2 linked regions of the Cricetulus griseus genome follow. The protein of the gene in region 2 purifies or fractionates together with the protein of the main gene of each other region. This does not show direct contact. Links are inferred from orthologs where the notes say so. Each region holds a gene or a part of one and is shown on either strand. Other genes may lie near its edges.

Region 1 (3,946 bases), on a different chromosome or scaffold from region 2:
GACAGAAAGACAGAGAGACAGAGAGAGCAAGAGCAACCAAGACCTCACTGTGTCCCACCAGGCCTCAACAGCCCCCCACTGTAACTCCACCTCCTACCCCGCCACTGTGTATGCCTCTCCAGACAGGGCCTCAGCTTCCCCCCAGTACAGCGAGCATACTCCCCTGCCTCAGCTTTGGCTCACTATACCAACCCCCCCCCAAACACACACACACACTTAACAGCTTTGCATTGATTTTTGTTTCAAACTCTCTTCACTGTGGCAGTCTATCCTTTTTTTATACAAGTAAGGAATCTGCATTCAAACATCCTTCCCAGGAGCCACCCTGGGTCACAGTCTCTGCGAGTTTTTTGAGTTCCCCCATAGCTCATTTCTCTCTTCCTTACCCCCTCCTTTCTATCTAGAGAACATATATAGCCTAGAACTTATTTTACCTATTGAATGCCTGACTCCCAGCTTTGGACCAAAGCCTTCTGAGGGAACATTCTTGATTTGTTCGCTGCACACAGAGCCTGACACACCAGGGGCTGGCAAACTGTGTGAGAAAAAGAGAGGTATGTGTGTGTGTATGTGTGTGTGTGTGTGTGTGTGTGAGAGAGAGAGAGAGAGAGAGAGAGAGAGAGAGAGAGAGAGAGAGAGAGAGACTGTTGACAGAGAAGCAGGGGGCAGAGATAGAGGAAAAACTAAAGACTAGGGGTGGGAAGAAGTTAACTCCTAGACAGGAAGAGTCAGTCAGGTGTGCAAGGGGGGTTGGATCTATAAACTCAGGGCCCAGCTTTCTACCTTCCATTTTCTCTGGGGGAGGAAGTAAAAGGACAGAGGCCATCACAGAATGCTAAGTGGCTGACAACTGCCAGGGCAGAGAGCTGTCTGAAGATACTACAGGGTGACTTAGCCATTGGCCACAGAGGCCTCCTGGTGCCTCCTCTTCAGCAGCCTCATGAGTCCAGCAGCAGGAGAAAGGAAGGCTGTTGGTCCATCCAGGGCTGAGGAGGAGGCAGGAGGACCAGATAGAGTCATGGTCCCTTGGCAAGACTTTTGGAAGTTAATCAAAGTATCTGTGCTGATGCTAGGGAAGGGATAGAAGACAGGTCAGGGCTGAGGGCTCCAGGGGAAAGCCAGGGTTCCCAAGGATCCGGGAGAGACTATGGTCAGAGTAGGACTCTAAGTAAGAGGATGCAAGACAAGATCACCCCCCCCCCGTGGGTGGGTGGGTGGGGTTTCTAGAGTGAGGGGCTCATGTCACAAGGGCCACCTGTGTAGCACTTCAAAATGAATGCACAAGCCACAGGGCCAAGGAACGTCTCCATTTCCTCAGCTGTCAAACAGAGAAGTCTGAGGCACTAAACCAAGCTTGAGACAACATCACCACCTTCAGCCTACAAGGCTCTGAAAAGGGGAAGGAGAGACTGACCCCATGTCTCCACTCCCTACTTCTCAACTTTGGGGTGGCAATGTGCTTAGCATGGGCCCCCTTTATCCAGACTCCCTGGCAGAGGCCACATGGCCTAGTTCTGGCTAATAAAGTACAAATAGAAATCTTAGGAAGAGAGGAATTCTGGGAAAAATTTTGCTTTCTCCCTAAGAAGGAAAAGAGCCCGGGGTTCACATTCTCCCTTCTTCCTGCTTTGGATACAGAGGCAAAGTTTGGAGCAATGGCAGTCATCTTGGAGTCACTGGGTAAATGCCAATGGCTGATGGTGTGGAAAGGCCTGGGCTCTTCAAAGCACCAAGCAGTTGCACCAGACCTGATCTTGTTACCAGAAAAACAACTCACAATTTAACTAATTACATCTGGACACATTTCGAAATCTCACAGAAGCGGGCTGCCCTTCTAACAAGAGAAGGTCCCTGGGAAGGCATAACAGGGGTTCTGTACTTCCAGCAAGTTTCAGGGAAAATAAATGCTAAAGGCCCCTTACTGAACCCCAGTTCCCTTCTCCAAATGGAACTTAAATTAAGGCTGTGACCAATTAGGAAGGCGGGGACACCACACATAAGTGTGTGTGTTTGCGGGGTGGGGGGTTGCTGGCTAACAAGCCTTGCTCTGCAAGGGAGGGTGAGCGGGTAAGACCACTGCCCAAGCGGGGTCTCCACTCTGAGCTCTGCGGAGGACCACCCCTCTCTGACCACCCCTGTTCTGAACCGGGATGGAAGCGGGCACGCCGGCAAGTTTATTTACACCGCGCTGGCCCTTTTATGTCAACCGCGGCATCCATCAAAGGCTTCTAAAGGGCCTGCCGCAAGCTGAACGCGTGGATGCAGGAGGCGTCTCCGCTTCCCTCCGCCATCAAGCTCCCTGCCCCCACGGACAGTGGAGACACGGGAAAGGGAGCCTCATATCCGCGGGGAGAAAGGATCTAACGGGGGGCAGAGTCCCAACGGGGAGCAGTAAAGCGGTCCCGCCCCGGCACACCTGCTGGCTGCGCCTCTCCACCCGCCCCCTGGGAGGGGCTCAGCATCCTCCCACCCCGGGCGGTGGAACCGGTCCCACGCGGGTCCTCCAGCCCCTCGGAGGGTCGGGCCCACGAGAGCTTCCCCGCCACCCCCGGCTCGCACTCACGCTCCACGTCATGCAGCTTTGCCCGCTCCTCCTCCAGTTTGCCCTTGAGGCTCTCGGCCTCGCTCTTCAGCGACGCCAGCGTCTCGTTCTCGTGCAGCCCATCGGTTGCCATCTTCGTCGGGATGCAGCCGGGAGACAAACGCAAAGCGGGAGATTGAGAGCCGACGCCGGGGTGGCCGAGAGGGCGGGATCAGCAGCAGCCTCCGTGACCCCGGACGCCTCCCCGGGTCCGCCCCCTTGGCGGTGACGCGACCGCGGCGGTGGCAGACTTCCCCGGCTCCGCCCTCCGCGCTCTCCCTGAGAACCAGGCGGGGCTATGCCCTGGATGGGATAAGGGGTGGAGGCTTGGGGGAACTGAGGCTCACAGAACAAGCTGTGGTCCCAACTCCTCTTTCTTCGCTCCAGGGGAGCCTAGAGAAGTCGACACAACCCAGCCCTCTGCATCCCTGGGGACTTGAGGCAGGATGCGTCAGAAACCTGTCCCACAACCCTCTAGCCAGAAACATTCTTTTAAAAATGAGTTCTGGCTGCCGGGGTCCTGGGATGGGGCAGCAAAAGTAGGGGTCGGTGGCACACCCTGCTGGAGTCGGAGGCGTCCTTTCCTCTGGAATGAAGTCTTGCTTATGGTGACAGAGTAACAGACTACAGTGGCTCCTCTCCACCTACACTTCCCTGGGCTTAGGTTCCCTGGTGACTCTTTTGATGCTCACCGAAGTTGCTCGAAAAACCAAAGTAAATAAAATAAATAGTTCAGTTAATGCTAGCTTATTAAATGGATGTATAAAACATGCTACATAAGTGTAAGTGTATTCATATAAAGTGTAGATGTATAGCGAGCAAGGGCTCACTGGTGAAGAACACTTGATGATCCTCCAAAGGACCCAGGTTCGATTCCCAACACCCACATGGTGGCTCACAACCCTCTGTAATGCCAGTTCCGGGAAGCCAATGCCCTATTCTGGTTTTACTGACATCAGGCATGCCCCATGGTGCACAGACATACGTGCAGGCAAACCTCTAGTATACATAAAATAAACACACCTTTTTAAATTAAAAATTTAAAGATTTATTTTATTTTATGTAGATGAGTGTTTTGTCTACATGTACGTCAGTGTACCTCAAGGGCGCAGCACTCCTGTCGGATCAGGAGATGGTGCATTACCACCTGTTACCAGATGGGGGCCCTTGTGAGCCACAGCTTTGAGCTCAGCCTGGTGACTCTTCTGAGACAGGCAGGGACTGATTTCCAGGGCTGAGGACATTTTTGGTGGTGATCTGAAGCCTGATAATAGCCACCTTTGGCAAGGATAAGATGCAATGTACTTTGAAAAAAAGAAGTCAGGATTTCTGTTCAGTTCCTACCAGGCCCAGCAGGCTTGGGCT
Region 2 (4,225 bases):
TCCCCAGGCCAATTAGCAGCGACTCCAGGGAGAGCTGAGAATTAAGATCTCGGCGGGAGGGGCGCAGAGGGGGCCTCATTAGGGCCTCGGCAGCAGCTGCCCCCTCTGCCACCCTCAGGGACCCACTCCCGCCCCAGCCTTGGCTACCTCAAAGGCTCTCTTGCTCATTAGCAGGCAGGGGAGAGGGCTGGGGCAAGCCAACCCAGCCAGCCCTGCAGAGGGGCTTGGAGGATAGAGGCGGGGGGGGGGGAGGACAAGAGGAAAAACCAATGGGGAGGGGTAACAATGTGACAGAAGGGGAGACAGGCATGGAGAAGGAAAATAGACTGAGGATGGAGACAGATTTGGGGGGAGAGATGATGGACGAAGACGACGCTAGGGAGAGGGAGGGAAAGGGGGGGTATAGGGAAAGAAAGAGGCACGGAGGGAACGGGAGCGGAGGAGATAGGGAGACAGGAGGGGTGGGGGGGGACCCAGACAAGCAGTGTTAGAAAAGAAACGGAGCAAGGGAAGAGGAGAGAGAGGGTGAGGGATAAATAGACGAACAGAAGGACAGAGGGAATGATGGGGACCCATGGAACTATAGTCATTTATTCCTTCATTCACCCATTCACTCATTCAACCCCGGACAGACCGACGGTGGTGGCCACCAACCAGCCACTGGGACCCCGGAAAGGAGCCTCCTACCTGTTGCAGCTCAGGGCTGGGATGACTGGCGGGTGACAGGCTGAGAGAGGCAGCGTCTGGTCCCCTTCCCAGCCCCACCCCCTCCCCTGGGGTGCAGCTCCTCAGGACCGCCTCCTCCTAGGCACCACCTGTCTCCACGCCCAGGTTTGTCTCTGTGGGTCCTCTCCTTGCCTATGTATCTTCTTCTTCTTCTTCTTCTTCTTCTTCTTCTTCTTCTTCTTCTTCTTCTTCTTCTTCTCTTCTCTCTCTCTCTCTCTCTCTCTCTCTCTCTCTCTCTCTCTCTGTGTGTGTGTGTGTGTGTGTGTGTGTGTGTTTCATCCATGTCTTTCTCTCTCTAGAGTCCCTCTTTCACACTGGCAGGAAAGGATAGCCCCTCTAGGTAAGTATATTTATGCACACAGGCCTCTCCCGTGTGTCCCATGCACCCTCACGCCGCTCGCACAAGCAAACCGACAGTCACCTCAGCATCACCCCATCGCAGAGACGCTCTCAGCAGCACACAGACTCAAGTCACTCACACAGGGGTGCTGAGTACCTTGCTGGGCCGCAGAGGACCTTGCTGGGCTACAGTGCTCAGCACAATAATACTCGGCGCCAAAGGTCTCAACACACCGCCCAGCCCACCGCGGTGGCTCGTGGCGTCTCACAGCACAGCCTGCCATGGCCAGCAGCACTGGCTGGCACCACTGCAGTCAGGTGCCCTCTCTTAGGGTGTCAAATGTGCGTATTGTCATCCTTACAAGCGCAGTTTCGGCTTCTCTTCAAGCTCTCATTCACACCTTTCTCCAAATCTCACGTGGTGGCATACAATACCGGTTCAGCCTCTCCGCCCAGCGCTCCATTGCTTAGTGTGAGGCGGGACCACACGGTTTCCTTTCCAGGGGTGCCTGTGTGTGGCCACATTTACTCCTGGTGAGTTTCCGGACACACATGGCACACATGGTCGTGTGTCCCCCAGCCACAGGGTCACATGTAATCCCTGTCAGACCCACACACTGTCTTTTGGTGTCATACACTGTTGACACACAATGGTGTGGTGTTGCGCGCGCGCGCGCGCACACACACACACACTGGCCTGGACATAGTCTTTGCTGGGCCTCAAATGCTTGCCATGCTCACACTGTCTCTTCCTCGCTCAGCGTTCTCCCAGTCTTACCGTTGAGTCCCCAAACAAATAATTGCATGCTTTCGCACAGGCAGCCACAGACGCAGGGCAGCCTCAGTGCCACATGTGACCAACCAGCTCCTCACGCGTGACCCACCAGTGTTGTGGCAGACACACTGTTACATGCTCACACGGTTGTCCACACCGGATCCCCCTGTGTGCCTCCCTTTTGCATCGCTGGCTCATGCCATCACTTGGGTGGACTCACTCTGCTCTCGTAACACACACGAGCTCTCCCCCGACCCCCGACCCCCCCCCGCCCCCGCTTACATACATCATGGGCAGCCTCCAGTTAGTTTCTCTCCCAGGCCCAAGGCCACACACGCTCACTCAGTCCCGCTCAATCCCTCCTTGTCGTTCCCAATCCCACTGTGTCACACCGTCACACGTCGTCCCCCTGGTGCCCCACACCGCCTCCGAGGCGTGCCCTCACGCTGGCGTGGGTCGCACCACCTCTGGATGCCGCGTGGGACAGACGCCAACCACAGCAGGCACCACGGCATCACTTTCTTGGTCTCTCGTTCGCCCTCGCGGCCCCCCACTGCTGGCCACACGGGGGCGCGCTCGAGCCAAAGTCACTGGAGGAGCGAGCGCAGAAGCCGCCAAGACGACGAGGCATCGCCGGCCACCAGCCTTGCAGAAGATAGAAACCAGAGATCGGGGGGTGTGGGGGTGTGGGGGGTGGCGAGAAGGATGAGAGGAGAAATGGGGTTCCTAGGAAGGTGAAAAAAAAAAAAAGGAAGGGATCAGAGGGAGAGGACAGGGAACTTCAGAGAGAGAGGGGTGAGAGGGGCGGAGAGAGACAAGCGGGACAGCGGGACAGAAGCCGGCAGGTCCAGGGAGAGGTCACAGGAGACAGACACACGGACTGAGACTTGAAGACAGAGCCGGGTCTCTGCCAAGTGAGATTCAGAGCGCGCCTTTCCCGCCCGACCACGCGGCGGGGCGCGGGGGGCGGGGCAGCGGAGGGGGCGTGGTGTGGGTGTGGCCGGGGCGGGTGTGGGGCGGGGCCTGTAAGGGAGAGAGGGCGGGGCTTGGCGCTCCTTCCCATCCTGGCTCGCACCGATGGCTACTGCATCCCTGGGAAGGAGGTGGAGTCCGGAGAGGCGTCTCAGTCGCACGCTGACAGCTCAAGCCCGGGTCGGTTCTCACCGCCCGCACCGGGAAGCCAGACGCCTGCTCGGGGAAAGCTTCTGACAGCTCCGCCCCGCAGTACCGGGGAACGGATCTGAAGTCTCGCACGTGCTGACCCAGAGCTCTGCATCCACGACCCCTCTTTTGACTTTGTGGTTCTGAGACGGTCTCCTTTAGTTCGCCCTGGACTGGTCCTGAACTCATTCTGTGGCCCAGGCTTTCAACTTGGCGACCCTCCTGCCTCGGCCATCCCTAGGGAGCTGGGATGGAGGGGGCCTGAGCCATGCTGATAACTTTTTTGGAACTGAGATATTTTTTTTTTTTTTTTTGGACCCTGGCTCCCTGCCCCCTCCCTCGTGGGCTCGTAGGGCCAGGTTGGAAGGAGAACGCGGTCCACATCTGGAAAGCATCAGGCGCGCCGCCGGACGTGCCAGGGCGCCGGGCCGGGGCTGCGGGAGGGGGAGGGGAGCCAAGGAGCTTCCCCCCCTACCCCCTTCCCCCACCCACCCCCGCCACCAGCCGAGCGGTGTCTGCCGGCGCCGAGGAGGGGCCTGGGCTTGCGCCGAGCCCGGCGCCTCCCGCAGCTGGTTTTCATCCCCAGATCTGGCCTAGGGTGCCCCTGAGGAGGAAACTCAGCTTGCTTAATGCTGGAAAGACAGGGTGATGACCCTGTCTCCCGACCAAAGGCTAGAGGGAGGAACAGGGAGGACAGACGGACACAAATGGATAACCTCCAGACCCCTCCTAATCTACAGACCTCAGCAGCCTCTCTATTAAATATATTTAAATGATATATACTTACATTAAATAAGTAAATATATATATTTGCATTTTATTCATTGTGTGTGCCTGTGCCCCCGCCTTGCTATGGAAGTCAGAGGACACCTTGTGAACCCCTCATCGTGTGGGTCCCAGGGTGGAACTCAGGTCCTCAGGCTGATGGCAAAGGCCTTCAACGGGCTGAGCCATCTCCAAGTCCTTAAGTATTAAGCATCTTAAACTCGTCCAGAATCCAGTTCCTTCCCACAAACTCCCTCCAGCTCCACTGTCTTCTTGGCTTCCACGTCTGGCCTTTTGCCTCCGACCCTGTCAGCCTGTAGAGAAGTCACAAGGCCTTTGTCTTAAAACAAGTCTCAGAGTACCCGTAATCCCAGCACTTAGGAAGGTGAGCCTGGAAGACTGGAAATTCCAGGATAGCCTGGACTACTTAGTGAGTTCCATCCTAGCTGGTGTTAGACT

What was found. The genes of interacting proteins can lie anywhere in the genome.
Region 1: the proteins of guanine nucleotide-binding protein G(I)/G(S)/G(O) subunit gamma-8 (region 2) and Gnb5 purify together in Homo sapiens (co-immunoprecipitation; 3 studies listed by BioGRID and IntAct, with this or other methods). This does not show direct contact. The link is inferred for Cricetulus griseus from reciprocal best matches to the Homo sapiens genes GNG8 and GNB5.

Annotation. Positions count from the first base shown.
Region 1 is NC_048597.1:186,572,061-186,576,006, reverse strand, and holds the start of Gnb5 (guanine nucleotide-binding protein subunit beta-5), read right to left. Parts: upstream 2,801-3,946; 5' UTR 2,676-2,800; coding exon 2,564-2,675; intron 1-2,563. UniProt on the Homo sapiens protein: Enhances GTPase-activating protein (GAP) activity of regulator of G protein signaling (RGS) proteins, such as RGS7 and RGS9, hence involved in the termination of the signaling initiated by the G protein coupled receptors (GPCRs) by accelerating the GTP hydrolysis on the G-alpha subunits, thereby promoting their inactivation.
Region 2 is NC_048602.1:11,528,007-11,532,231, reverse strand, and holds the start of guanine nucleotide-binding protein G(I)/G(S)/G(O) subunit gamma-8, read right to left. Parts: upstream 2,801-4,225; 5' UTR 2,233-2,800; intron 2,103-2,232; exon of another isoform or gene 688-2,102; intron 40-687; exon of another isoform or gene 1-39. UniProt on the Homo sapiens protein: Guanine nucleotide-binding proteins (G proteins) are involved as a modulator or transducer in various transmembrane signaling systems.